Linked DNA regions of Rhinolophus ferrumequinum. Each later gene encodes a partner of the first gene's protein in a complex. Links are inferred from orthologs where the notes say so. Each region holds a gene or a part of one and is shown on either strand. Other genes may lie near its edges.

What was found. Proteins that work in one complex are often made in the same cells at the same time.
Region 2: SART1 (region 1) and LSM4 share a complex: the UniProt entries of both Homo sapiens proteins name them as parts of the U4/U6-U5 tri-snRNP complex. The link is inferred for Rhinolophus ferrumequinum from reciprocal best matches to the Homo sapiens genes SART1 and LSM4.
Region 3: the proteins of SART1 (region 1) and UBL5 are in contact, whole or in part, in a crystal structure (PDB 4PYU), measured with the Homo sapiens proteins. The link is inferred for Rhinolophus ferrumequinum from reciprocal best matches to the Homo sapiens genes SART1 and UBL5. Residues at the interface, in NP_005137.1 of Homo sapiens: Ser117, Leu118, Ser119, Ile120, Thr123, Leu126, Arg127, Leu130, Leu132, Lys133, Leu135; in NP_001041706.1 of Homo sapiens: Met1, Glu3, Arg15, Lys17, Cys18, Asn19, Asp21, Asp22, Asp26, Lys29, Leu30, Ala33, Gln34.

What each region holds. Positions count from the first base shown.
Region 1 is NC_046294.1:5,875,077-5,886,541, forward strand, and holds the start of SART1 (U4/U6.U5 tri-snRNP-associated protein 1), read right to left. Parts: upstream 5,184-11,465; 5' UTR 5,103-5,183; coding exon 4,790-5,102; intron 2,932-4,789; coding exon 2,874-2,931; intron 2,491-2,873; coding exon 2,435-2,490; intron 1,956-2,434; coding exon 1,829-1,955; intron 1,706-1,828; coding exon 1,600-1,705; intron 1,345-1,599; coding exon 1,267-1,344; intron 1,137-1,266; coding exon 1,037-1,136; intron 950-1,036; coding exon 807-949; intron 713-806; coding exon 506-712; intron 1-505. UniProt on the Homo sapiens protein: Plays a role in mRNA splicing as a component of the U4/U6-U5 tri-snRNP, one of the building blocks of the spliceosome. May also bind to DNA.
Region 2 is NC_046301.1:51,124,288-51,133,449, forward strand, and holds the start of LSM4 (U6 snRNA-associated Sm-like protein LSm4), read right to left. Parts: upstream 3,001-9,162; 5' UTR 2,855-3,000; coding exon 2,852-2,854; intron 1-2,851. UniProt on the Homo sapiens protein: Plays a role in pre-mRNA splicing as component of the U4/U6-U5 tri-snRNP complex that is involved in spliceosome assembly, and as component of the precatalytic spliceosome (spliceosome B complex).
Region 3 is NC_046301.1:40,256,608-40,264,314, forward strand, and holds UBL5 (ubiquitin-like protein 5), read right to left. Parts: upstream 2,001-7,707; 5' UTR 1,895-2,000; intron 1,629-1,894; 5' UTR 1,618-1,628; coding exon 1,562-1,617; intron 1,380-1,561; coding exon 1,296-1,379; intron 1,168-1,295; coding exon 1,130-1,167; intron 671-1,129; coding exon 627-670; 3' UTR 501-626; downstream 1-500. Other genes in the region: FBXL12 (F-box/LRR-repeat protein 12), read left to right, coding at 6,935-7,038, 7,162-7,234. UniProt on the Homo sapiens protein: Ubiquitin-like protein that plays a role in cell proliferation and sister chromatid cohesion by associating with spliceosomal proteins. Participates thereby in pre-mRNA splicing by maintaining spliceosome integrity.

The DNA.
Region 1 (11,465 bases):
AACGTCACATACATAAACAAGACTGGAGGTGCGTGCAGTTGTCCTCCCACCAGTGTGATGAGGAAAACTGAGGCACAGAGAGGTCACCCAGCTCACAAGGGGGATACCAGGATTGTGACTCTTGGAAATGTGGCCCCCGAATCCCGCTCTTAACCACTTAGCCAGCTGTCTGTGTTCATTCAGTCACCCCCAATACAAAACCCACACACAGCTATCAAATTACCACTTCCCAAACTGTCACTCATCCTCGCAATGGCCCCCCAAGAGGTAGCTAGCTCCCACCATCCCCATCTCAGATGGGGCATCTCAGGCTCACCTGGCTCAGTCGCTGCTCTGTCTACACCCACTGCCTCCCGGCAGCACCGCCCCGGGGCTGCCAATCTCGGCTCCCCAACAAGGACCAAGGACCCAGGACCAAATGAACACTGGGTCTCCCTCCTTAGCCCCGAGCGGAAGGAGGCACCACTGCCTCCCTCGCGGTGTGAGCAGCGGCCGCAGAGCTCACCATCTCCTCGGGTGTGAGGTACTCGGAAGCGAGCCGGGGCCCCACCGTGCTCAGGGACTGAGCCTGCAGCCGCAGCTTGGCCCGGACCTCTTCCAGCTCGCGCTCCCGAATGCCATCGGCCATGCCGCCCTGGTCTAAGCGGAAGGAGTGCAGGCGCTCGCCCTCGAGCTCCTCATCGTACTTGGACAGGATAGAGCGGGGTTTCTGCTGCAAAGGCAAGAGGTACAGGTTGGGACCCAGCCTGGCTCCCCAGAAGCCACAGAGCCACCCACTCCTCCCGGCCCCTACGCCGCCCGCCTGCCTGGGCCAAGTCGTCCACGCTCTCGTCCTCTGCATAGGGCAGGTAGTCGGGCTTCTTCTTCCGCAGCTCCACGTTCTTCTCAGCCCGCTCCTTATCCACGAGGTTCACATTCACCAGCACGTCCTCCTCCTCCTGCAGCACGCCTGGGGGCAGGGCAGAGGCCATTCACACACGCCCTCGACTCAGTAGCACCTTGCCCCCAACCGGATGACCCCAGCCCCCCAACCTACCCTTGTCCTTGAGGGTGAGGACCACAGTTTCCCCTTCTTGGAAGGACTCAATGGCGTGCTCCACGGTGAGGCCCTGCAGGTCCCGGGCACTGTACAGGTCCTAGAAGGGAGGGGGGAGGTCCCGCCGAGTCAGGCGCCCAAACCCCCCAGCCCTGGGATCCCAGCACCATGGACAGCAGTGCCTCCCACCACCACCCTACAACTCCCCACGGCTGCCACAGCAGCCTCACCTGCCGCCTCTGGCCGAACTCCTCCTCCACCAGAGTGCTGACACCAAACTCTTGGTCCATCTCCTCCAGCAGCTTGGCCTATGGGACAGGAGGGGGAGTGACCCAGGAGCTCAGGCCATTCAGGACCAGAAGACACGCATGGCCTTGTCAAGTGGGAGCACACAAATGGCAGGCCTTGCAGGCAAGCCGCTGAGAACCCAAAGCGGACGCCACTCCATGGACCTCCTACCTCTCTGAGCCCGGCCTCACGCCCCAGGGGTGGGATTCCTGCCTCACCAGCCTGTGAAGCCACCAGCGGCCCTGAGCAACCAACCCCGCTGCCTAGGCCCTCACCCTCTTCTCCGCCAAGTCCTTCTCCTTCTGCAGCTGCCGACTCCTCTCGATCCAGGCGGTAGTGTCATCCAGCCAGGGGTCGTCCTCCCCCAGTGCCTTGATCTTCCTGAAGTGGGAAGAAAGTGACTCTCTGGGGAGCCCCGCTCCTGCTCCCCCCACCCCGACTCCAGAGCTCCATGGCAGCCTCCTCAGACCCTTCCCTTGTCCTCCCTGGCTGGGACCCCCTTACCCTAGCTTTTGGTTCAGGAGGCGCTTTTCTTTGGCAGCTGCCAGCTTCTCTCGTAGCTCCTCTCGCTGTCGCAAGGCCATAGGATTGATGACATCGGCTGCCACGGGCTCCTCCTTGGTGCCCGCCTCTGGAAGGAGGGCCCAGACGTGAGGCTATGCCTGCCCATGGCTGGTGGGGAGAGGAGGGAGCCACTCACCCTGCCCCCTTCCAGCTCAGGTGACCAGAAGGGGCCAGGAAAGGGGGGGAAGGATCCTTTACCTCCCTACACCCACTTTATTCCGACACTCCCATGTCACCCCACACAGCATGATGGGAACCCCCTACCAGGCCTTCCAAAGCCACTCAAATCATGCTTAAGAGATAACCAACACCTGCACAGCCCCGATCAGTTTGGAGCAACTGTGCACATTTCTCAGCCCATCTACCGCTACCACACAGCCAGAGTGAGGAGCCATGCCAACTGTGCAAACTTCAAGAATAAGCTGAGCGTCAGATCCCCATGTGACAGCAAGAAGGAAGGCCCATGCCTACTGGCAAGCACACACACACATGCTCCAACCCCACTGTCTTCAAAGACCCCTCCGATGCCCTCAGCCCCATACTTACCCTTCTTGACGGCATTGACCTCCAAGGGTTTCAGCCCCAACTTTGCCCGGAGTTTACTGAGGGTAAGAGATACAAAGGTTAAGAGCTGTCAAAGAGATGGGGCACCAAATGCATTTCCGGATAGATGGGGGATGAAAACAGGACGGGGCAGAGTGGTCCTAAGGGTCCCCAACACAGGGCCTGACCCTGGAAGCCCAGGGCACTGGGAAGGACACAGGTCTCCCAATCAGGGAACACAAGTGCTCCGCCTGGCTGGCCCTAACCAGTGGAATGCCGTCCTTCCTCTAAGGCCTTAGTGTCCTCTTCTGTAACACAAACGGTGGGCTGACGTGATTTATATGGCACTTCCAATGCCAACCAGCACACTTTAGTGTGCGGAAGCCTCCCCAAGCGACTGCTCAGAAGAAAAGACTGCAAACATACAGGACACAGTACTCACTTGGTCTCCTCGATGCTGAGTGACGAGGCATCTCCTGAGCTGCTTTTGGAGCCGGTAGCTGGAACAAGAAGCACGACTCAGGAGGCGAACGCAGGGCCAAAAAGCCACAGCCTTCGCTCCGCTGCACGGCCAACGATAAGGGCCCCTCACCAGCACCCGGGGCTTGCTGAGACACCAGAACACGGCAGCCTCTTCCCACCCCAGCAAGTCCTTCTCCCTGAGTCCCAGTCTGAGAACCCCGCCTCTTCTAGATCCCTTCCTTTCCTCACCCCAAAGGTCCAACTTTCTGCATCCCACCCTTTGCCACCTCTCCACTGTTGTATATTCTGTGTTTTCAACCTGCACTGCCCTCTCTGGCCTCACTGACTGACAAGTCCTATCCAAACGCCAAGATCAATCGCCAGCTCTTCCGTGAAGTGCTTCAATTATTGACCAGAATGAACTGCCCTCCCCAAACCCCACAGCACGGTCAGTCATGTCTGGGTCTGTGGCTCTCCACAGGGCAGAGACCATGTTGGTAGCATGACCATGTCAATAAACACGTTACTGGTGCTTGTCCCCTGCTGGATGTTGGGGATACAGCAATAAAAAAGCATTTCAAACTTCCTCCACCCACCTCACAAACAGCAAATACCTTTGCTGAACACCACAGCCAGAAGCTAAAAACCGTCAGGTGGAGCTCCCCCAACCAGCTGCCACCACAAGCTCATCCTTGCTGCAACTCGCCCCCAGCCTAACTCCTCCCCTTTTATTCCACCTGGACCCTGGATCCCAACCCTTCCAGGCACTCTTCAAAGTCACCAGCTTCCTTATTTCTAAAACCAATGCATTCTTTTCAGCTCTGGTTTTGCTTGATCTCCTGTAGTGTGTGACCCGTCTTCTAACAATCCTCTTTCCACAAATCTCATGACAGAAGATTCTATGGTTTTCCTGTCTTTTTGGCTATTCTACTTCCTTTCCGGTAGCATCAGGCTCCGCTTACTACTAAAATACTGGCATTTCTCAGGCTCTAGTCCTGAGCCTGACTTCTCACTCCCCACTCTCTTCAGGAGACTTCGCATGCCACCTAACTACTCCTGACTCCCAAATTGCTGTATCCCACCCAAACCTGGTCCTCCCAGGTTTCTCCCAAGCACATCAAACACAACACTCTGCAAAACTGAATTCATTCTCTTCCCCTAAATGCCTCTTCCAAACTCAAGCTCAGTAGATGACGCCACCACCCACCTAATTGCTGACACCAAAATTTGAATCCTCAATCCCTTCTTCTCCTTCCCACCCTCATCCCACCCCCATTCCTCCTCCAAAACACTTCTTCAGTCTTTCCACATCTCTCCATCCCCCTGCTGCTGCCTTGGTGCAGGCCAGCATCAGTCCTCACCTGGTCTCGTTTTGACTACCTTTGACTTAGTTTTGGATGCAGTCAGTGATCTGTGCAAAATAGGATCAACTCACTCCCCAGCTCAACTGCACGGCTCCCTACGACCCTCAAGACAAAGTTCAAATTTCATAACAGGGCACCTCGTGTTTGGACCCCTGCGGATCTTACTGCTTCATGTCTCTACTATGAGCCCTACACGATTTGCCCAATACCTGATTTTCTCTTGCCTCTGCACACCCTGGTACCACTTCATTCAATCATTCATTCATTCACTCATTTACTCACTCACTCAACCCATTTACCGAGGACCTGTGATATGCCAGTTGAAGAAAACACAGAAAAATCTGTTCTCACAGATCTTAGGAGAGAGAAACCACCATTAATCCCAAACAATGGTAAGAGGACCCTTTAAGAAGTGCTGACTAAGAGAGCCCGCGGGTGCCACGGCCTGGAGTGCAGGGCCGGCGTCCGGCATTGCCTCCACGCCCAGGGCCTGCCAGCCCCGGGATCCCCCCGCGCACGCCTCGCCCCTCACCGGTCTCGAAGCCGTCATCGCGCTTCTCCCGCTTCACGCGCCGCTCGGAGGGCTCGGTCTGGCTACGCTCCCGCCCGTGCGCGCCGCTCCGGGTCTCGGCCTCAGCCCCGCGCCGCCCGCCCCCGCGCTCGGTTGCCCGCTCCCGGCTCCGCTTCCGTCGTTCGCCGCCGCTGCCGCCGCCGCCGCCGCTCCGATGCTTATGTTTTTTGTGTTCCCGGTGCCGCGGCGGTTGCTCGGTGGCGCCCCCGGTGCCGGCCGCCGCCGCCGTCGTGGCTGCCTCCTTCTCCCCGCGGTGCTTCTTTGACGATCCCATAGTGGTCCGGCCGCCCCGTGCCCGGCCGCCGCCGAGCCCAGACTGCGCAAAATGGGAACACTTCCGGGTCGCCCGCTGTCGTGTAGCCGGAAACCAAGAGCGGCTGCTTCCGTCCTTCGCTTCAGAGCCGGCCCCCAAAGGCTTATGGGAAGGCTGGGGTCGACGTCCGCGTGCACAAGCTCGGCCACCTCGGGCAGGGTGGTGGTCCGATTGTGCATGGGGAAGGCGGCGTCCCAGTGATGGGGAAAGTGAGCTAAAATGGTGGCCGGAGCGGAGAGAGACGTCCCCAGCCTAAGCCCCAGCCCACTTCCTCATAACCCCCTCCAAGCCACACCCGGAGCCAATCACCGGACCACACCTACCCCTTCCCCGACTGAAGGAAGTTCCTAACTCAAAAACCTGCTCAAAACCTTGCTAGGGGCTCAGTCTTTGGGAAGGATCCCGCTGAGCCCGCCGGCATAATAAAGCTGACCTTCCTAACTCTCTGAGTGCCGCTTAGGTTCTTCCGGTCTTGGTATCCGTAACATTCTTGGTTCCCTGACCTGGAAACCCAACCGCGCTGGCCCCTTGAGCCACCGGTTTGGGCCAGAGCAGACCGTAGGGTGGCGGGAGAGCCGGGGCAGGGCTAGGCGCGCCCTGCTCATTTCCGCCGGCCCGGGACCAGCGACCTCCCACCAGCTCCGGCCCGTGACTCCCTGCTGGACCCCAGTAGAGAGAAAGGACGGACAATCAACCAGGACATCGGACACGGTAAGACCCGGGGCCCGGGACCCAGTTAGGCCTGCCTAAGGGCAGAAGGGGAGCCTGATCACCTCCTGCTGAGTCCCACTTTGGACTCTAGTTAGGGCCATTCCGGGGGAGGGCGTCTTTCCTCCCGGAATGAATGTGTGTGTGCTTGGTCCCAAACAGGATTCTGTATGGATCCACTGCCTGTCGGCTACGGAGCTGGGGTGAGCCCCAACCTGCGTTCCATGGTAGCATCCTACGGCATATGGTGATTCGCACTCTCGGAGTGCGACCGAACCCCGGGCTTATACGGGCACACCTTAGCCAAGACGTACCCAAAGTTCCCGCGAGGAACACGGCCAGGCGGGCGCCTGATTGAGACCATTCCCTTGTCTACACTACACCGAACATCCTGGGAGGGAGTCACGGGAAGCCCAGGGTTCTAGACTGCATGTTAAAGAATTTCAGAAAAGGTTTCAGAGGCGACTAGGGGGTCAAAATGACCCCAGGACATCTCCGCACTTTATATGAACTGGAGTGGCCAAGTTTTGACGTGGAATGGCCCCCAGAAGGCACTCTTGACCTCCCCACGATTTGCCGGGTCTACATAGTTGTCACCGGGACCCCAGGATATCCATACCAGTTCCCTTACATTGACTCGTGGTTGGAAATAGGCCGAACCCTTCCTCCTTAGGTACGGTTCTACTCCAATAGTAAGGGACAGTCCAGGATCCTCATTGCACGGAACCCACAAGGCCGTGCCCAGAAAGACATGACTAAGACCATTTACCAGGGAGACCCCCACGAAGAGCCACCACCACCTCCCTACGCATCACGGCCAACGGCTGGTGCGGCCCCACCACTTCCAGACACTCCGCCTCCATCTGAGCCCCCCAGGCCGACACCCAACTTCCCAAGCCCTCCCCAGGGAGCCCCTGATCCTACACACCAACCCTCACTGGGGCCTGCTAGTTGACTTCGGTCCAAAGACCCGCCTCTGCTTCAGCTGACCCTCCAGGAGACCAGAAGCCCAGACCAAGTTGGAGATGACGGGACCCTCCAGCGAGGACACCCCGTCATCTACTACCAGCCTTTCTCCACCACTGACCTGTTGAATTGGAAACATCATACCCCAGCTTACTCGGAGAAATCGCAAGCCATGATAGATCTTATGGAATCTATCTTCCACACTCATCGCCCCACCTGGGAGTTCTGTCAACAGCTCCTCTGAACACTCTTCAACACCGAAGAACGCCAGCGGATCATATAGGGAGCAACGCAGTGGCTAGAAGAAGTGGCCTCTGGAGGAGTCCTGGATGCTGCCACCTGGGTGACCGAGGCTGCTCCAGACGCACGGCCTAATTGGGACTTTAACACTGAAGCAGGGAGAGGCGCAATCCGCCGATACCAAGATGCTCTCCTACGAGGGTTGCGGGCAGGAGCCCGAAAACCAACCAACATGTCCAAAACAGCCGATGTAACCCAAAACGGGGAAGAAACTCCTGGCAACTTCTGTGAACGTCTCTGTGAGGCGTTCCGGGTCTACACTCCATTTGATCCGGAAGCCCCCAAGAATCAGAGAATGATAAACACAGCCTTTGTCGCTCAGGCAGCTCCTGATATCTGCCGAAAACTCCAAAAACTCGAGGGGTTTGCAGGAATGAATATCCCCCAGCTCTTGGAGGTGGCTAACAAGGTCTATCAGTACCGTGAGGTTGTAGCTAAATGAGAGGCTGATAAGAGGATGAGAGGAAAAAGTAACCCTCCTCGCGGGTGCTCTCCAACAAGGAGGGGCTAGGCCCCGAAGAAAAGGGCCTCCCTGTTGGCAGACAGGCCCATGTCCTCGCGTCCCGCTAAAAGAAGACCAATGCACATATTGTAAAGAACTGGGCCATTAGAAAAACGAGTGCCCCGAACGACAGAAAGGAAAACCTCGGCCTCCCCGTGGTCCCAACCCAACCAGACCGGAGCCCGACTTCATAGGATTACCAGAAATCAAATCGGACTGAGGGGGACCGGGCTCGTTCGACCTCGGCCCCCACGAGCCCACGGTTGACTTAGATATATAGGGCCAAACAGTAACTTTTATGGTAGATACTGGAGCAGAACACTCGGTAGTCACCATGCCAGTGGCACTGCTCGGGGACTGCAGAGTTACCATAATGGGAGCCACCGGGGATCAAGCTAAGAGCCGGCCATTCTGCCAGGCTTGGACTTGTAAATTAGGAGGAAACACCATGTCGCACAAGTTCCTCTACTTACCAGACTGCCCAATCCTGCTGCTAGGACGCGACCTCCTTACCAAGTTAGGGGCACAAATCTCCTTCAAACCATCAGGTCAAGCCACCATGTCACTGCAACCCCGTCAGAGAAACTTATTCTGTCTATCACCACCCCAAGGGAAGAAGAATGGAGGCTTTCCAGGACCGGCAGTGTAGAAAAGAACCCAGAAGCCTACAGGGCCGATTTCCCAGAGGTTTGGGCTGAAGATAACCCGCCTGGGCTAGCAAAACACAAGGCTCCGGTTTTGGTGGAGCTGAGGCCTGGCGCTCAACCCCATCTCCAGGGAAGCCCGGGCAGGGATTCAAAAACCCCTCGCCCGTCTCAGAGCAGCAGGGATGCTCGTAGAGTGCCAGTCGCCATGGAATACGCCCCTCCTGCCGGTAAGGAAGTCCAGTGGAGAATACCGGCCAGTGCAAGATTTAAGAGTGATAAACCAAGCTACGGTTTCCCTACACCCCGTAGTCCCAAATCCATATACTCTCCTCAGGCAGCTGCCCCCAGAGGCCGGATGGTTCACCTGCCTGGACCTGAAAGATGCATTCTTCTGCATTCGGTTGGCGCCCCAGAGCCAATCACTGTTCACCTTTGAATGGACTGAACCTGATACCGGCTGGCAGCTCCAGCCGACATGGACTTGGCTCCCATAGGGCTTCAAAAACTCCCCAGCCCTCTTTGGGGAAGCACGAGCCTCAGATTTAGCCACCTTCCCTCGAGAAGAATACCGCTGCACTCTATTGCAATATGTGTATGATCTGCTCCTAGCCTGTGCCACCGAGACAGAGTGCCAAACCACGACATGAGTGCTCCTGTCCCACTTAGCCGAGACGGGGTATAGAGTCTCCTGGAAGAAAGCCCAGCTCTGCAGAAAACAAGTACAATACTTGGGCTTTGTCATCTCCAAAGGACAGCGGGCCCTCAGCACCGAGCGGAAGAAAGTCATCACTTCTCTCCCTCGGCCCACCAACCGGAGAGCGCTCCGTGAGTTCCTCGGGGCCGCCGGCTTCTGCCGGATCTGGATTCCTGGCTTTTCGGCAATAGCGCGGCTCTTATATGAGGCTCTAACTGGTCAAGAAAAGGCTCCCATGCTATGGACAGAAGATCAAGAACACGCCTTCCAGCAGCTCAAGAGCTCACTTGGATAGGTCCCAGCCCTTGGGTTACCTGATGCTGAGAGGCCATTCCACTTATTTGTCCATGAAAAAGACAAAATAGCCTTAGGACTGCTGGCCCAAACAGTTGGACCGTGGCTCCGTCCTGTCACCTACCTCTCAAAGAAACTAGATCCGGTAGCAGCAGGTTGGCCACCATGCCTGCGGGCCCTAGCAGCCAGTCTGATTCTCATCAAAGAGACAGACAAGCTCACCTTAAGCCAGAGACTCATAGTTAAGGTACCCCACTCGGTCACCACCTTAATGAACAGTCAAGGACCCCGATGACTGTCAAATGCACGGCTGACCCAGTATCAAGGGCTACTCCTGGAAAACCCTTGGATCTCGTTAGAAACTGTGCGTGCCCTGAACCCACCCACTTTCCTGCCAACCGAGGAAGGGGATCCAGAACATGACTGTGTAGAAGTTATCAACGAGGTCTATGCCACCAGGCCCGACCTCCGGGACAGCCCCCACCCTAACCTGGACCTTACTCTGTATACGAAGGCAGCAGCTTCCTGAGGGACGGAAAACATCACGTGGGGTACACAATAACCATCACAGATGAGGTACTTGAGGCAGGGGCACTTCCATCGGGATGGTCGGCCCAACGGGCAGAACTATGGGCACGAATAAGAGCCCTCACTCTATCCGAGGGCCGAAAAGTCAACATCTACACCGACTCTCGGTATGCCTTTGCTACTGTCCATATCCACGGGGCTATATACAAAGAAGGAGGCCTTCTGACCTCGGGGGAAAAACTATTAAAAGTAAACGAGAAATCCTTAAGCTCCTACAAGCCATTTGGCTTCCCCAGCAGGTTGCAGTTATCCTTGTCGGGGCCACCAGAGAGGCAACGAGCCCTCAGCAGTCGGGAACAGGCTCGCCGACCCCACGGCCAAATCAGTGGCGATGGGAAGCCCTAGTGAACTACTCTTGGTCACTGACACCACCACCACGTCCCTCCCGCAGTACACAAAAGAAGAACTCAGATGGGCAAAGTCAGAAGGGGCCACCAGATTGCCATAAGGATGGTGGCAACTGCCCGATGGAAGACTCTTCATCCCAGCCCTGCTAGGTCCTCAAGTAACCGCCGAATATCACAAGTTAATCCACTTAGGAAAAACTGCCCTTGAGGGCCTCCTAGCCAAAAACTTCTACATTAGCCGGCTGTCAGCTCTTTGCAAGCCCATCGGAGAACGCTGCCTCACTGGTGCAAAGAACAATCCAAAGTCCAACTCTAGCCCCATCCCCGGGATTCAGAGAAGCGGTACCGCGCCTTTTGAGGACCTCGAAATCGACTTCACTGACAGGACAAACTGCCGCGGTGCTAAGTACTTGCTGGTCCTGGTCTGTACCTACTCTGGGTGCGTTGAAGCCTTCCCCACTTGGATTGAGAAGAGCTGCGAAGGAGCCAAGGTTCTCCTCACTACGGGAGATTATCCCCTGCTACGGGATTCCACTTCCTATCCACAGTGACAACGGGCCAGCTTTCATAGCAGAACTCCTCCAGACGGTAACCAGCGCCATGGGCATCAACTGGAGGCTCCATACAGCATACCGACCACAAAGCTCAGGGAAAGCTGAACGCATGAAACGTACCCTCAAGGAGACATTAGCTAAACGCCACCAGGAGACCTCGCTAGGGTGGGTAGACCTCCTACCACTAGCCATCCTTCGGGCGCGCTGCACCCCTGGCAAATCTGGATTCCCTCCCTTCGAAATTATGTTCAGGAAGCCCCCTCCCCTGCTAACCAGCCTCCCTGGCAACATTCGTCAGCTGGGGTTCTCCAGCCTCCAAAACCAGATGGCCACGCTAGGCAAGGTCCTCACATATGTACGTGCTTACATTCTGGAAAGAGCCCCCATTTCTCTCGGGGCCCCGGTACACCCCTTTACCCCGGGAGATCAAGTTTGGGTCAAAGATTGGAAGCGCAAGCCCCTCCGACCCCGGTGGACAGGCCCTCACACTGTCATACTTGTTACTCCCACCACTCTTAAAGTTTCAAGCATTGCTCCATGGATCCGTCACACTTGAGTTAAAAGAGCCCAGCTGGAGGACGACTCCTGGATCGCCCAACCTGACCCGGCCCATTCACTCCGCCTGACCCTCAAGAAACAGCCAGGAAAAGCCTCGCCGTCGTCTGCCCAGCCCCCGTCTTCACTGTTACTGGACTCCTGTTGTTTCTAGCCTTTGCTGGTCTCG
Region 2 (9,162 bases), on another chromosome or scaffold:
GCCAGCTGTTTCTCCACGGGGTGGAACTGGAAAGCCTCTCCAGTGGAGGTCAGAAATGGTCCTCAACACCTACAGGGTGGTTCCCCATGAACGGCTTGTTGGGCGGGGACAGGTCCCATTTCCCACAGGCCTTCCCTGAGAGGTCACCAGGGGAGGTCCAGCGCCGATAGGAAACCAGGCCCAAGCCTGCTTCCTGCACTGGCTTCCTGGAAGGGCAAGATAAGGAGGAAGAAGGGGCCATGTGGAGAAGAGGCAGCTGCTCCAAGGAGGGCGGGTGGGTGGGCAGACTGGGACCCCAACGAGGACCAACCTGCAGCTCCGGCCCTCTCCTTTGGGTACGCCTGTGTGACTCTGCGCCTAGGCTGCACAGGAAAAACTGGAGGCTCAGACCCGCATGCAGGGCCATGCACCCAGGTCGCCTTTTACTGTGGAGAAACTTTGGGCTTTCCTGGGCAGTGGGAATCAAGCCCAAGGTGATGAGACACTCGGGTCCTCCTCCTACATCAACAGAGGGCACAGAGTCAGGCTAGCCCTGGAAGGTGAGAATGAAGATGGACTCAGCGCAGAGAGGTAGAGAGATCGGCCCAAGGACACAGAGCAAGGTCCTGGTAAAGCCGGTGAAAGTAGGCTGATGCTTGTCAGCAGGGGACCACTGATGTCCTTTTATGGCATTCACAATCTCTATGCTAGCGACAGCCTCTCAGGCTACCACCTCATCCCAGCTACTGGCAGCACCGCCCTGGAGGACCCACGGCCTCCTTGGGTCCTGGCAATTCCCTATCCACAAAGCAGCGGACAGGACATCTGAAACGCAGAAGGCAGCAGCACCTGCTCCCACCCCTCCCCTGACTTGCCTGGCACACACTCCCCAGACGGGCTACCAGGCCAGGCCTGACCAGGTCCAGCAAACGGGCCTACGCTGCTCCTCACACACCATGCCCATCCAGTCCTGCCGCCCAACCTTTGTTCCTACACTTCCCTTCCGCAGGCTGGTCGTTCCTCAAATGTCACCTCCTTTGGCCAGGTCCTCATAACCCCATCGAAGGAATGAGGTTTCCACCTGGGCCACCCTCTGCTGTTTCCATTATAGGACGCAGCCAGTCTCTAATTATCTTGTTTACTTGTCTCCCTGGCTAGACTTGAAACACCACGCCTCCTGCTAGACTGGAAAACTCAAAAGGTGTGGACTTTGTCCAGCGCCCAGCATGAGGCCACACACACGAGAGGGACTTGGTAAATATTTGCTGAACAAATACATGAGGGAAACGCACGCACTGCCTAGGGAGGTACATGGGGTGGGTGGGATGCTCGCCCCACCCCACAAAGAAGGAAAGGAGAGGCTGGAGAGGTGGCATCCGGATAGCTCTCCACAGATGCAGCAGCGTGGAGCAGTGGCCATGTCTTGCCTTCTTCTATACTATCATCCCCAAACTGGGCGGGAGACAGAAAAGAGGAAGGGGAGGATCCCCGAAAACTTAAAACTTGGTGGGGAAGAGGAAGAAGACGTGTGAAGGGATCAAGGGAAACAGGAGCGGGCCGGACACCCAGTTCAGGGGAGATGGGATCTTTCCCAAGACCCTGTGGAGTTGGGAAAGTCAGAAAAGCTTCAGGAAACAGGATTCCTTTCTCTGGGCTTTCTCACAAGGTCTGGGGTCTGGTTCTCAGGTCTGGCTCAATCCAGGACTAGACCCAAAGGTTTCCTGACGCTCCCAATTCAGGAAACTGTCAATGATCACACCCACATACACACCGTGACCCCTGCTTCCCGCCCTGCTGTGTGAGCATGCCTTGTCCACTGGTGGGCACGAAGGGTGTGTCATGCCTGGTCCACTGGTGGACACTCTTCGGATTAAAGAAACGAGTCTGTACTTTGCACAGGCTCTGTTCTATACTCTGGGACTCTATCAGGGGTAAACAAAGCTCTGGCCTCCATGGAGCTTAACAAAGCTCCGTCCAGTCGTTCCCTCAGGCCCACTTTGCCCTCCAGCAGAGGGATCCAGCCAGCAGGAGCTAGCAGGAAACCTCACCAACCCCTGGCTCTCAGAAACATGCGGCAACCCTGTCAAAGGGACTCAAGTGCTGACCGGCCAGGCGCAATTCCAGGAGACCCAACTTTGAATCCCTCTGTGGGGGCCTCCATTTCCTTGTCTACACACCGGGGCATGGTCACTCTGGCCTAGATCCAGAACTTCCACGATGTGTGAGCGGTTTGGCCTTGGAGGCTTTCTGTCAGGGCCTCAAGTTTTCCTTCTGTGAACTGGAAGGGGGCAGTTAGTGCACTCCTGGCTCAAAAAGCCCCCTTTCCCACTGGAATGAATGACACGCTGTGTGATCCAAAGAAGCAAACCCCCTCTCTGCGTCTGTTTTCAGCCTGAAAACGACAGTCATAGGGGGTTGTGCTAACATTCTAGGAGCCTTGCAAACCCTGAAATCCCCCAAATTGGCTTAATTTGAGAACTCAGGCGGGCCCCTACTTGCTGGCGCTCCAGCTTTCAAACATGAGATTAGACTGGATAGGACGCGCTCGGGGCCACTTCCCTGCCCGAAAACTCACTCTGCTGCATTCACCGGGCCCCACCTGCTCCGGCCTGTTTCCTCGTTTGCAAAATGGGAAGACTGCAGCTAGGCCGCTATACTGATACCAACTCTAAGTTCCCAGAGACTGGGTGCCTGAGAGAGCCCCCTCCCGCCCTCTTCGGCCTCAGTTTCCCCGCCTCAGGCCGAGGGGCAGGAATCAGGCCCGGATTGCACGCTCGGTCCGCGTAGCCCCTGCCCCAGCGCCCGCCCCAACAGCCTTCAATGGCCGCATCCCCTGCTTCCCGGCGACACCTTGCCATCGTCCTGCCCTCACCATGGTATCGGCGGGGACTGGGCACGCCGGCCACTTCCGACGCCGCCGCCGCTCACGCGCCCGCCAGTAGCCGAACCGCCGCGCGCCACTAGGCTAAACTGGAGTGGCAGCAACGCGAACCAGTCAGCACGGGGCTAAAGGGACTGGCAACTAATCCCCGAGGAGTAGGGCGGGGCCTGCTAAGCACAAGGGGCGGTGCGGGCCGTGTTTCTGCCAAGAATATGGGGAAAGCCGTAAAGTGCCGCAGTGAGTGCTGCAAAAGGGAGGCAGAGCGACGTGCAACGGGGCCGAAAGCCTGTGGGTAAGGGCGCATGCGCAAGTGAAACAGCTCTTCTGGGCTCCACGCTGTGGGCAAAGCTGATTATTTTTTGCAGCTTGCAAATGTAGAAACTGAGGCTTAGTGGTTATTAGGAAGTAACTTCGGGCTCCTACTCTTCTGATTCTCATTATTGTAGTTGATCCCTGTCTAAGGCACGTCTTTTGGTAAATTGGAATCTAGACTATGCTCCTCTGATCCTTAGTTTGCCCTTCTGTAAAATGGATGTAATGATAGTGTCTGCTTTAGAAGGTTGCAGTAAGGATGAGACGATTTAAGCTGTGTGAAAGCACTTCGGACAGCGTCTGGCACATACTAAGCACTTAATGCACAAGCGTGCAATAAATATTTATTGAGCACCTACTATGTGCCTGCTCTTAGAAACACAAGTGTACAAACCTGACAAAGCTGGCCCTCCTCAGGCTTAGGAGCCCTTTGGGGCGACAGACAGTAAACAAAATAAATAGGCATATGTATCAGTTTCCTTGGGCTGCTGTAACAAATTACCTCAAACGGGATGGCTTAAAACAATAGAACTTAATTCAGAAATCTGAAATCGAAATTGTCAGCAGTGTTGGTTCCTATAGAAGGTTCTGAGGAACAATTCAGCCCAGGCCCATAGGCTTTTGCTAGTTGTTGGCAATTCTTGTAGTTCTTTGGCTTGTAGACACATCACTCCAATCTCTGTCTCTGTCTTCACATGGTGTTGTCTGTGTCTGTCTAAATCTTCCTCTGCTTTCTATTATAAGGATACTCCTTTCTCTTAATAGACGCACTCTAAATACAGAATAATGTCATCTCAAGATCCTTAATTACATCTGCGAAGATCTTATTTCAAATAAGGTCATAGTCACAGGTACCGGGACTTAGAACTTACACGTTATGTTAGGACATATCTTTATAACCAGTTACTGTGTGGATTGATCAAATGTGGAACCCAGATAAAGTACAAGGCACCCATTACTCCAGGACCAACAGTTGTCCTTCATGTCTTAGTTTGGGGTCACTCCCTCCCCCAGAAACCAGATCCTGAGATGAGGACTCAAGGGCACAAAGTGTACATAGCGGGTGACTCCTGGAAGCCCCCATTGGGGGTGAAGACCTGACACAGGGAGGGAAGGATCCCTGCAGGGGGCACCAAAGGGTAGGTGGTGCAAAAGGCAACTGGGGGTCTGTCCAGCTGGGGACCTCAGGGAGAAGCATAAGAACTCATGTTTCATCATGGCCCCATCCGTGGTCAGGGCAGCTGGGGCATTTATTCTCTAAGTCCCATCTGTCATCAGCTCAGGGCTGCTCCCAGGGAAGCTGGCAAGGCCTGGGATGTGTGCAGGACGCTGGTAAGTGGCCAACCCAACAGTGATGTGATAATTGGGTTAGAGGGATCAGGATGACCAGCCAAGGCTTGTTTGTCCAGGGTAAAGGCCACTTGATGTAAACAACGGAAATTGGGTACAGGATATGTCCCCTCACTAATATGGTGGTGGAAGTAGGAAGAAAATCTTGTGCTGGTTCACCCCTTTCTGACTTTTCTAGATTTTTCTATGTGCAGAGGCTTTTTCTTTTTGCCCAACTGGCAAACTCCTATTTATCCTTGAAAACTCTGCTTGGGTGACCCCTTGTGGTGGATTCTGGTAACTTCTGTTTTTGTCAGTCCTTTCTACATAGAGATGGCCAATCAGAGTTTTCTGTCCCCCTGACCGTAGTGATTGGTTAAATTGATAGCATGTGACCAACCAGGGCTAATTAGAATCTCCCTTGAGAAGGATACTGAGGGCTGGGAGGGAGAAGAGTGGTTTCCATGGAGGTTGTTAAAAGTGAGATGATGAAATAGTGAGATATTCCTATTTAGTGAAATAGATTTACAAGTGAGAAAGTGTAAGCCCAGTGCCATCAGGATCCAGTATACACAAGAATCCAACATACATAAGAGCTACTCAGTGGACAGGGATGCATGGTTTGAACCCCTGGATCCAGCTATACCTGAAACCATTAGATCTGACTTTCCACTTATATGAGTCCAAGAAGTTGTCCTTTGTTGCTTAATCCACTTAGAGTTTGGACTCTGTCTCTGGCAGGTGTCATAACCTGCACTAACGCATAGCTACTCCATGAACTCTTCAATGGCTGACCCCCCAAATCAAATCATTCCCTCTCTTATACTTTGAACTTCAGTACCTTGCACTGATTTTCATCATTACCCAATTTGTGCCACATTGTAATTGCTCATTTGCACACTTAGGCCTTCTGGATTCTGACATGTAGGAGCTAAAAACATGAGAGGTTGTATGGGCCACTATTTGAGGCAGTTTGAGCATATTTCCTCCTCCCCCCTCATCATGGACACATGACCCAGGCTTAACCAATCAGAAGGCTTCCCTGGGATGATGCTGGAATTGCAGAGCTGGGGTAATGTTTGTCAGGTACAGAAATGGCCATCTCTCCACCTCCGAGTCTTGGCCCTGTTTAATCCTGGATCCAGTTGTATCCGATGCTTCATAAATCCTATCTTTACCTATCCCTTGTACTAATACTATTTTTTAAATTCCAGTTTCAATTGTGTTTCTGACAGCAGAAATGTAAAGAATGAGGACTAATGTACCTATCACACTCAAAAAACTACCCTACCCTTCACTAAAAAAAAAGAAAATAGGGCAAGGTTGTAGTGAAACCAGTTAATATATATTTCCTTTTAAGTGGGGGAAAAATTGGCATTATGTCTCAAAGCCCATAAAATTGTCCTGCCCTTTTCTGAACATTTATACTGAGGTCTTGCAAATGAAGGGAACCACTCTGCCGAGGTCTTGCAGCAATGTTGCCAATTCTAAAATAGCAGAAAGAACATAAAGGTCTGACAGCGGTGAACTGGTTGAGTAAAACATGGTTCATCCACTAGACAGAATATTTTTCATTCATTAAAAATTATATGTAGGGGCGGCCGGTTAGCTCAGTTGGTTAGAGCGCGGTGCTCATAACACCAAGGTTGCCAGTTTGATCCCCGCAAGGGCCGCTGTGAGCTGCACCCTCCACAACGAGATTAAAACAACTACCTGACTTGGAGCTGATGGGTCCTGGACAACACACTTTAAAAAAGAATTATATGTAAATCCTCCCCCCAAAACCCCCAAAGATGGACTCAGTGACTCACTTCTAAAGAATAGAGAAAGAGGAAAAAAGTAACTTGATAGAGACTTAAATGGTAGAGAGACCTGGCAGATACCACATGTAGTGAGTCGAGGGTGACCCCCTAAAGATATGTCCAAGTACTAACCCCCAGAACCTGTGAATGTGACCTTATTTGGAAAAAGAGTCCTTTCAGATGTAATTAAGTTAAGGACCATGAGAAGAGATGTCTGGGATTTAGGATAGAGCCAAAATCCAATGACTGGTGTCCTTCTAAGAGAAAGGCAGAGGGAGATTTGAGACACAGAGAAGACAGAAGCAGAGATTGGAGTGATACAGCCACTCGCTAAGGAACACCAGGCGCCCCCAGAAGCTGGAAGAGACCATGAAAGATCCTCCCCTAGAGTCCCCAGAGGGAACGTGGCCCTGCTGACACTTGATTTTGGACTTCTTCCCTCCTGAACTTGAAGAGAATCCATTTATGTTGTTTCAAGCCACCAAGTTTGTGGTCATTTGTTATGGCAGCCCCAGGATTCATCACCTGAACCAAGTGATCCAGATTTTATCTTGGTGATAAGTCGTGGCTATCAGGGATCCCTGCCTGATAATATGAGATGAGAAGGGCATCTCACCTCTGTGGTCTTCCCCAAACACCCATAACCCCATTCTAATCATGGCAGGAATATCAGACAGACCAGCATGGAGGGCATTCTGCAGAACGCCTGGCCAGCTCTCTCCAAGACTAAGATCATGAACAAGGAAAGACCTAAGAGCCATCCCAGACAAAAGAGGACTGGGGAGACGTGATGACTACATGTAACTCGGGATTCCTTCTACAGAGTCTACGAACAGGGAGAGGACATGAGTGGAAGAACTGGTGACATCCAGACAACATCAGGAGGTTGGTTAAAAACAATGTACCCAGGTCAATTTCTTGTACAAATGCATCTGATAAGATCTTCTTATTCCGGGAAGCTGGGTAAGGGGCATAGGGGAGTTTCTGTACTGTCTTTGCAAGTTTTCTGTAGATCTGAACTTATTCCAATATAAAAAGCTTGCAGCACTATTTAATCCCCATTTTACAGTTGAGGAAACAGAGGCTTGGAATGGGAAAATAACTCATCTAAGAGTACGCACCATGTGATGAGCCAGGCAGAATTTGAACTCAGGCCAGCTGGCTCTAAACACCATACTTGCCGCCCTCCATTCTCTCACTAAGAAAATTCATAAAAAATTTAAAAGGAACAGTTCTTTACATATGAAATGTCTTGGTTTCAAAACTCTGGGAAAGCAGCGGTGGTACCTGAGTCCATTACATTGTTTTAATGTCAATTTCCTGGTTTTGACAGTGGTTAGTTAGTAAGATAGACCATTTCGCTGGGGGAAGCAGAGTTAAGGGTTCAGGGAAACTGTACTACTTTTTTGCAACTTTGTGTCAGTCTTAAACTATTTCCAAAAAAAGTTACAAAAGTTGAGTGGCCAAAAGAACTGCAAGCATGGTCTCTAAAAGATATTAGCACATCAATGCTCATAGCAGCATTATTCACAATAGCCAAAAGGTGGAAGCAACCCAATTGCCCACTGATGGATGGATGGATAGATGGATGGAGAAACAAAAATAGTCCATCCATACAATGGAATATTATGCAGGCTTTAAAAGGAAGGAAACTCTGACACCTGCTACAACATGGATGAACCTTGAGGACATTATACTGTGTGAACTAAACCAATCACAAAAGGACAAATACTACATGATTCCACTTATGTAAATAACCTACGATAGATTCATAGAGACAGAAAATAGAAGGGTGGGTGCCAGGGGCTGAGGGAGGGGGGTTGGGAGTTAGTGTTTCACGGGGGCAGTTTCACTTTTGCAAGATAAAAAGAGTTCTGAATGTTGGTTGCAGAACAATGTGAATGTATTTAATACCACTGAACTGTACACTTAAAAATGGTACTTTTTATGTTATGTATATTTTACCACAATTTAAAAAACTCTAGTGATTTTTTGAAAGCAAGTGTCTGTACATTTGTTTCTGAGTAGTTGATGTACATGGTGCAAGAAATGTTGGCGGTATCTCCCTTCCACCCCCACTTTCACCCTCCCTCCCCACATCCTGGTTCCCTCCCCAAAGCGCCCCCGTGTTATCAATTTCTTACTCTTCCTTTCTGAGGTTTTTGCTGCCTTTGCAAATATATTTGTGTGCATTTGTCTTTCTTTTGCGTTTGTTTTTCATTCCATAAATTCTTCCACACTGGCTTTTTAAAAACTGTGATGAAAAATACATAGGTAACATAAAACTTAACACTTAAACCATTTAATTTAATTAATTAATTAATTTATTTTAATATATAATATATATATATATATATATATATATATATATATATATATATATGTTTTTATTGGGGAAGTGTAACAGGACTTTATTGGGGAACAGTGTGTACTTCCAGGACTTTTTTCCCAAGTCAAGTTGTTGTCCTTTCAATCTTAGTTGTGGAGGGTGCTGTTCAGCTTCAAGTTGTCCTTTCAGTCTTAGTTGTGGAGGGCGCAGCTCAGCTCCAGGTCCAGTTGCCGTTGCTAGTTGCAGGGGGCGCAGCCCACCATCCCTTGCGGGATTCAAGGAGTTGAACGGCAACCTTGTGGTTGAGAGCCCACTGGCCCACGTGGGAATCAAACCGGCAGCCTTCGGAGTTAGGAGCATGGAGCTCCAACCACCTGAGCCACCGGGCTGGTCCAACACTTAAACCATTTTAAAACGTACAGTTCGGTGGCATTAAATATATTCACCATTCTTTGTAACCATCACCTCTATCTAGTTCCAGAGCATTTCATCACGCCAAAAGGAAGTCTGGTCCCCATGAGCAGTCGCTC
Region 3 (7,707 bases), on another chromosome or scaffold:
ATGCCACAGTCTTGCTCTGTCCACTAGGATTTCATAAGCGCCAGGAACTGTAGATGTTTAACCATGTTTTATCTCATCTATACTTCACGACAGGACAATAAAGTAAACACTATCAGTTGCAGTTTGGAAAAAGAAATGAAGGCTGAGGGAGGGTAAGTAACTTGCCCAGGGTCGCTGTTGGTATCAGAGCTGGGATTCCACCCAGTCTGTCTGAATCCAGAACCTGTATTCCTAACTATATGTACTGTCCCTACCCAGAGGCTCCTTGGTCTATTAGGATGAGAATAATCCCAGGATCTCTTGCCCTTCACAGACCCATGGCAAGCCCCAGAGGTCGGGGCTGCTACACAGGCTCCCAATCTACTCGCTTACTCCTCCCTCACTGAACCCTCACTCAACCCTGGGCTCTTACTGAGTAGTTGGGTACTGAGAGTATAGTGACAACCAGATATCAAGCTCCCCTCATTAGATAGCCCTCACTCAAAGATGACAACAACGAAGCTGCTTCTAAGTTTTTATTAACATGACTTTTTAAAAACAAGCATCCATACCAGTGTGGGGGGTGACGGTGGGAGAAGTAGGGGGTGACGAGAGGGGAGGGCAGGACAGGGGTAAGGAATTCTGCTCTATTGGTAATAAAGCTCCAGGTTCATCCCATCGTGGATTTCATCTGAAGTAAAGGTGTTAAGGAATCCTTGTGGGCTCCATCCCCACCCCTCTCATCTCTCTCAGCTGGATCACGGTGCTGAGCGCTCCACTGAGGGCCAACCAAGCCATTATGGACTCTGTCATTTTGATCTGGACAGAATCAAAACTATAAAAAAAAGTCCATGCTGCTTTTGCACAACAGACATACTGGAGTCTCACTCCACCCTGACCTCCTGTCCACACTAGGTGGAACTCAGTAATAAGTATTTTGACCTTAAAGTGTCTTCTAAACCTCAAAATATTTCACCATTCAACCACCTTCCTTCCCCAACAAAATAATTACGTGACTCCCACTTTGTAAATGCTTACCACATACTAAGTTAAGCACCTTATGTGCATAATCTCAGATAGACTCAGTATTTAACAAAGAGAACCAGGATGGGTATGTAGATCCTTCCTCAAGAAATCACACAAAGGATACAGTCCCCCAGAGAAACGTGGTCCTTAAAAATCGTGTACCTAGGGGACAAAAACCTTTCAGACAGAGACCACGGAGGCAAGCTGTGGAAGCCCTGCCTAAGCAAAGGGCTGCCTGCAGCACTCCCCCGGCCCAACAGTCCAGCCCCCAGCTCTGCCACTGCACTCACCACTTCTTTAGTACGATCTTGTTCCAACGGGTACCAGTTTGGGCTGCGATGAGCTTCTTAAGGTCCCCGATGGTGTCATCGGTGCTGGGAGCAGAGGAGTTAAGGAAAATGGAACGGGGAGGACGACACTGCAGAGCTGAACGCGCTCTGCCAGGACCCCATTCGCCCCCTCTCCCGCGTTTAACTAAAATCACCCTCAAACACACACTGAGATGCCTCATGCCAAGCACCCCACAGACTACTGCCTTTTGGCCACCCGTGGATACTTGCACTTCACGCGGACCTTCTTCCCCAGACGGTCGTTGCAAACCACCTCGATCATCCTGTCGGGAGCTACACGGGGAGGGGGTTGGGAGGCAGCAGAGTCAGGAGGTCAAGGGTCTCCCAGACCCCAAAACCTCCGGTTATTGAGACTCCTGTTCACTCCCCAAACCCCCCAGACCCGAGTCCTCCGGGGCCCAAGTTCTCGTCCCAGGACGGCGGATCCCAGGCAGCCGCGCCTCCTCCCTCAGGTCGCTTCTCGCCGGCCGGTGGACCGTAGGAGGGCGGGTCCCATTAGCTTTCCCCGACTCCGGAGCGCCCCACCTGGCCCCCCTCACCTCGAAACGCCTAGAACCTGCCGACGCCACAACCTCCTCGCTGGAGAGCAGAACCAGGACCAGGGTCTACGCTGAGAACCGGAAGCGGAAGTACGCGGCCGAAAGCGCCCGCCCCTCCTTGTGCCTATCAACATCCGGCCGGTTCTTTATCGTCCCAAACCTGGCGTGGGCTTGAGGTTCCTAGGCGCGGCTTTGGGGTCCGATCCTGGGCAGGGGGACACTGGGGTCGGTTCGCAAGGACAGGGGAAGGCGCGTGGAGGGAGAGTCAAAGGTCAGGGGCCGGCGCCCAACTCATTGAGGCCCCTTCGCTGTGGGGAGACACCGTCAGTTGGTGGGGACTCCATAGGGACCTGGGGGACATCCGAGAGGGGTGTGACCTCCCGTTCCTGAGCCCCACGAAGCCTCTTGCTGCACCAACAGGGCTACGGGGAGCCAGGTCGAGTCCTGCAATCATCCCGTCCAACTTCTTGCCCTCATTCAGGGTTGGGTCTCGGAAGCGTTTTGCTCACCCCACCCCTCTGGCAACTGCTTCTGCCCCCTCGGGCCACCTGGGGTTAATAAGCGGAGGAGCTGCCTGATCCTGACCTCTATATCAGCACTTATTAGAATGGAGTCCACGTTGGTCGCGAACCTGCAACACCGAGGAGGAAGGTGGAAACAACACACGTGCAAAAATCTCCCAGGTCTGTATCTTCAAGAAAGGTCGTCCGAGCCCTGGGCGGGGGGTGAGTGTGGTGTGTGCACTTTGTAGGAGATCTCAACCTTGCCTGGCAGCTCCTGGACTGCTGGTGTGGTTCCCCAGGGCTGGTGGGACAGAGGGGCACCTTCCCTAAGTTCTGTGGATGAAAAGGGGTGCTACGGAAAATAACCTAACAGGGTGATCTGATCATAAATTCCTAACTGGGCAGGTCATGGTGAGTAGTCATGCCCCAGACGTATGACTTTTTTAGTAAAAGGTTTATCTTTGCCTTAAGTGAGCCCCGTTCATTGTTCCTCATCTGTGGAAAGGGGATAGTAATTCCCACCCCAAGGACAGGTCCTGGACCAGCCCCTGACAGTCCTGTAAGAGTCTGTCTGTGGAAGAACAGATGCAGCAAGAGGCGAGGTTGGAAGGTCAAGGGTGAGCTGAGGGCACTGATGTGCCCAGGAAGTTTGGAAGGAGCTTGTGTTTGCATTCACATGGAAATACAGGGTCACACAAGGTGTTGATGGTGCTTACCACAAGATGGTGCACTTGTTGAGGCTTATTTTTCTCTTTGGTGCTTTTGGTGTTTCCCCAGATTATCTACAATGAACATATGTAATTGGGGAGAGAGGGGAGTAAATGTTAGCTGTTTATTTCTTTATAAATTCTAATTTCTCGGTGATTCAAAGATAGCTCAAGCACAGGATGACGATGCTGAGTTATGGGCTGGGGTGGTTTGGAAAGGGGTGGGGAGTGCTGCTGAAAGAGGAGGAAAATAAAGTCTGGATGGCTGGGAGTTTGGTCTCCATGAGCTGGGGTGGGGGGGTGAGGGGCTGCCAGCTCCAGTTGGGCAGAGCCATCCTGCGGAGGAGATGGGGTGGGGCAAAGGGAAGTCCTGGAACTAGACTGCCAAGGCTGCGCAGACTCCTTACCCTGGACCCAGGTGAGAGGGGGAGAGGCCTCAGGAGACAGGACATCTCACGTTAGTGACGCCTCCCCACCTCCTGGGAATTATAACTTGGGGCTTCCCATGAAGGGCCAGGGCAGCCCCATCCCCATCTCTGGGTGGTAGTAAGATCTGTTGTCAGAGCTGCTCCTTCTGGGGGAGGTAGGTACTTCCCAGGAGGGAGAGTTCTGGGTCAGGACCCAAAGAGCAAGCTGGGCAGGTCCCCTTCCCACCTTTGTTTCCTCGGTTTCTGACCCACAGTCAGGAGCTTGGATGTGGGGATCCCTTCCCTCTACCCTGCAGACGGGGCAGGAGATGGTTCTTAGGAACCCACTGCAACTGTGCCAAAGGCAGGGATACCTGGGTTCTGGGTTCACTAGAGGGAAATCATCTTAGGTTTGGAGGGAGTTGCTTTCCCCAACATCTTGGCCTGTCAGCAGGCCTTGGAGATACAGCAGTGACTAAGGCCGACCTGCCACCCCAGAGTTCTGATCGAAGAGGGAAGACAAGAAGACAAGTGAAGAGGTCGTTGCAATACATTGGGACAGGTGCTTTGAAGGGGAAGCCTAAGTGCTGGGAGCCAGGGAGCTTTGCCTCTGCATGCTGGCGTGGGCTTTCCAGAGGGAATCACGACTGACAGACTGTATAGAGCACTGTGGTTGAGGGCCATGTGCTGGCATCAGAAAGATCTGGGCTTATGGCCCTGGCAAGTGACTTCACCTCTGTGCAGTTCCTTTGATCTTTCCTTCCACAGTGGACAGATGGCTGCCAGAGCAGGAAGCATTTTTTCAGTGCTCTTGTTTGAGGAAAAATGTCAAACGTTTGATTTATTAATAAACATGTAGAATTTATGTTTTTTAAGGTAATACTTGCACATGGTAAAAAGTCAAGCAGTACAAAAGTATATATGCAGCACACAAAGTCTGCTTACCCTCTTGACCACAGTCCGCTCCCCAGGAACAACTACCCTTAAAAGTTTCCATTTTCTAAAGATAGTCTCTGCATCTTCAAACATGTGTGATACTGAATCTCCCAAGAAAATGATAAAACCAGATATTAATAACATGTTTCAATAGAGATAGGGACCTTGTAGTTTCAAGTAACATACAATATTTTGTTATGTCAAAGGACAGAAGCAAACAACTTAGTTTTATACAGGCCTTTATGTATACAGTGAAACACATCATAAATTGTGTATTCATTTTATTGGATATGTGTGTGTGTGTGTATGCATATAATACACACACACACATATATATATTCAGTGAGATCAAACTATATGTACTGTTCTCTACACTTTGTTTTTTCAAAAGTGAACAATATCCTATAGATTGTTCCAAGTAGCACAGAGTGACCTACCTCATTCTTTTTGACAAGCTGAGGTCCTAGAAATGGGATTGTTGAGTCCAACAAAGGCTGCAATCTGATATTGTCAAAGTGCCTTCAAAGAACTTGCCTTAGTTGTGCTCCACGTGCGGTGGTTGAGAAGGTCTGTTTCCTACACCAAGGCCAAGGTGGTATTTGCTGGCTGCTTCATCTCTTAATCTGATATGTGAAAACCATAGTGTTTTACTTTTTATTTATGGATAAATGTGAGCATATAGATCTATTGTTTACCTTTATTGTAATATAATTGATATACAAAAATTGCACACATGTAATGTATACATCTTAATGAGTCTTGCATTTCTTTTTAAAACAATTTTCAACATCTCCAATTCCTGCTTTTGCATGTGTTTATTAAAAACACCATTGTAGGCTCTTGGTGTGATTTAGCAAAACCTTTTCAAAAGCACCCGTCAAAAGTAAACTTCATGTGTCCTCTGAGCCATCAAAGTGTCTCCTGGTTATTTATCCTGCAGAAATAAAAACGTAGGCGGTGTATGTATGCATACACCTAAATACTATGAGGGAGGAAGAAACTTACTTCTACTTTCAAGGTTCTTTTTGCTGGTCTAATAATCAAATAGACATGAGACAGATTAGCAAGAGAAAATAACCAAATTTAATACATACAGTTCGCGAACTCATCTAGAAAAAGTGCTCCATACCTCATTACTGAATATCACTACGGTCACCTTTGAAGTACTCCTCTTGGGAAGCTATGCACTGATGCCAGTGCCCAGTCCACCCTTCAAAGCAATTTTGGGACTCTTTCTGGAATGGCCATCAGAGTTGTTGTGGTATTACCTCTGATGTCCTGAATGTCATCAAACTGTCTTCCTTTCACTATCTCCTTTATCTTTGAGTAAAGAAAGAAGTTATCGGGGGCCAGATCAGGTGAATAGAAAGAGTGTTCCAATACAGTTATTTGTTTCCTGGCTAAAAACTCCCTCACAGACAGTGCCGTGTGAGCTGGTGCATTGTCGTGATGCAAGAGCCATGAATTGTTGGTGAAAAGTTCAGGTCATCATTTTCAGCACTTCCACATAGTAAACTTGGTTAACTGTCCAGTTTGTGAATAATCACTCTAAAACCAAAAAAAGGTTAGCAACATTGTTGCAACAAGTTCATGAACTTAATTGTCAGAATTTTCCTATATCTGGGAACCCCACATACCTGAGAGAGCACAGACCCCACATGACCAAGTAGTACAGAGATAGCAAGGGGCATTGGGGTACATAAGACACTCTGAACTAGGGATGAGGTAAAGTGCCTTGGGGGACTGCTAAGGGTCATTACAGGATGATAAGAGCAGATATTTAGTAAACAGAAATTTGCTGATATATAAAAGAATGCCCCAGTGTTGTTTGTGGTAACAAATCTGGCAGCAACTTGAAATAAGGGAATGTTTCAATATATTTCACTACCCTTACGAATTGCTGTTTTAAAAGTAACATTTGGTGGAAGTGTCAACACAGCCTCTGTGACCAACAATTTGGCCCTATCAATCAAAACGAAAAATTCAACACGCCCTTTAACAGTTATTTCACTTCTATAAATATATCCTCGTGCATATGCATCAAAAAGTATTAAGCACTAAAAAGTAGAAGTCAAGCTCTCCGACACGTCCCCTTTCGTGGTCCCGCCCCCAACCCCGCCCTCAGGGCGCTTCATCACCTCAGCTCTGCCTCCCGGGCTCCGCCTTGGTCCCCAGCTGTGGCCTCCCAAGCCTCGTCACAGTCCTGCCCCACGGCCTGGTCACCGCCCTAGCCACGCCTCTCCAACTGGGTCTTCTTGTAGCCCCGCCTTCCGAGCTTCATCCAAGTTCAAAGCCACGTCTTAGGCGGGGCATACACAGCCCCGCTAGTCTAGCGCAGGGACTCAACCACCTTCCTGCAAAAGTGAAGCTGAAACTCTCGGCCCGCTTCCGGAGGCCGTGGCCATCGCCCTGCCGACACTCCCACTACCTCTGCCCCCTTGGAGCGCCCTCCGGGCGCGTCCCAGACATCATTTAGCCGGAAGTGAAATGCACGTCGGCGGGATCATGGCAACTTGGACAGACCTGCCGGACTCGGTGCTATTGGAGATCTTCTCTTACCTCCCGGTCCGGGACCGGATCCGCCTCTCCCGGTGCGCCCCCCGCTTGACCCTTCGCTCCCCACCCCGCCCACTCCGCGGGGAGGCCGCACTTGGAGAAGCGGATCCGGTCTCAGCGGGGTCGGGGTTGCTTTAACGGCGGGTCTCCTTCCTCAGGGTCTGTCACCGTTGGAAGAGGCTGGTGAACGACCGGTGGCTGTGGCGACACGTCGACCTGACACTCTACAAGGTAAGTGGGGCCGACCGGGCGGGCCTGGGCCGCAGTCAGGTGGCCGGACCTCCACCCTGGATTCCGAACCAGGCATACCGGGGCGCGTCCTGGCCCTGTCATTTACCTGCTACTCTGCGACCTCCCGCCTCAGTTTCCACGTCTCCAAAATGAAGATAACTGAGATTGTGCAAGGAATGGGCTTAGAGTAGTGTCTGGGATATATATAGCAAACATAATATATGCTGGCTGATGATTAGATAATCACTTATTATTGATGAGTTTTCGTGGGGAAATCATTTTTCATAGTCAGCTTATTTCCAGAATTCTCTGAGTAGTGCAGCCGAAGCTTTTCCGCTTTCTACCATTTGCATTTTATTTTTCTTGTTTTCGTTATGAATTATTTCAAATATATAGAACTGTATAGAGGATAACATGGTTTCAAATCACAAACATGTACTCACTGCTTAGCTTTAACCTATTTTAACCTTTGG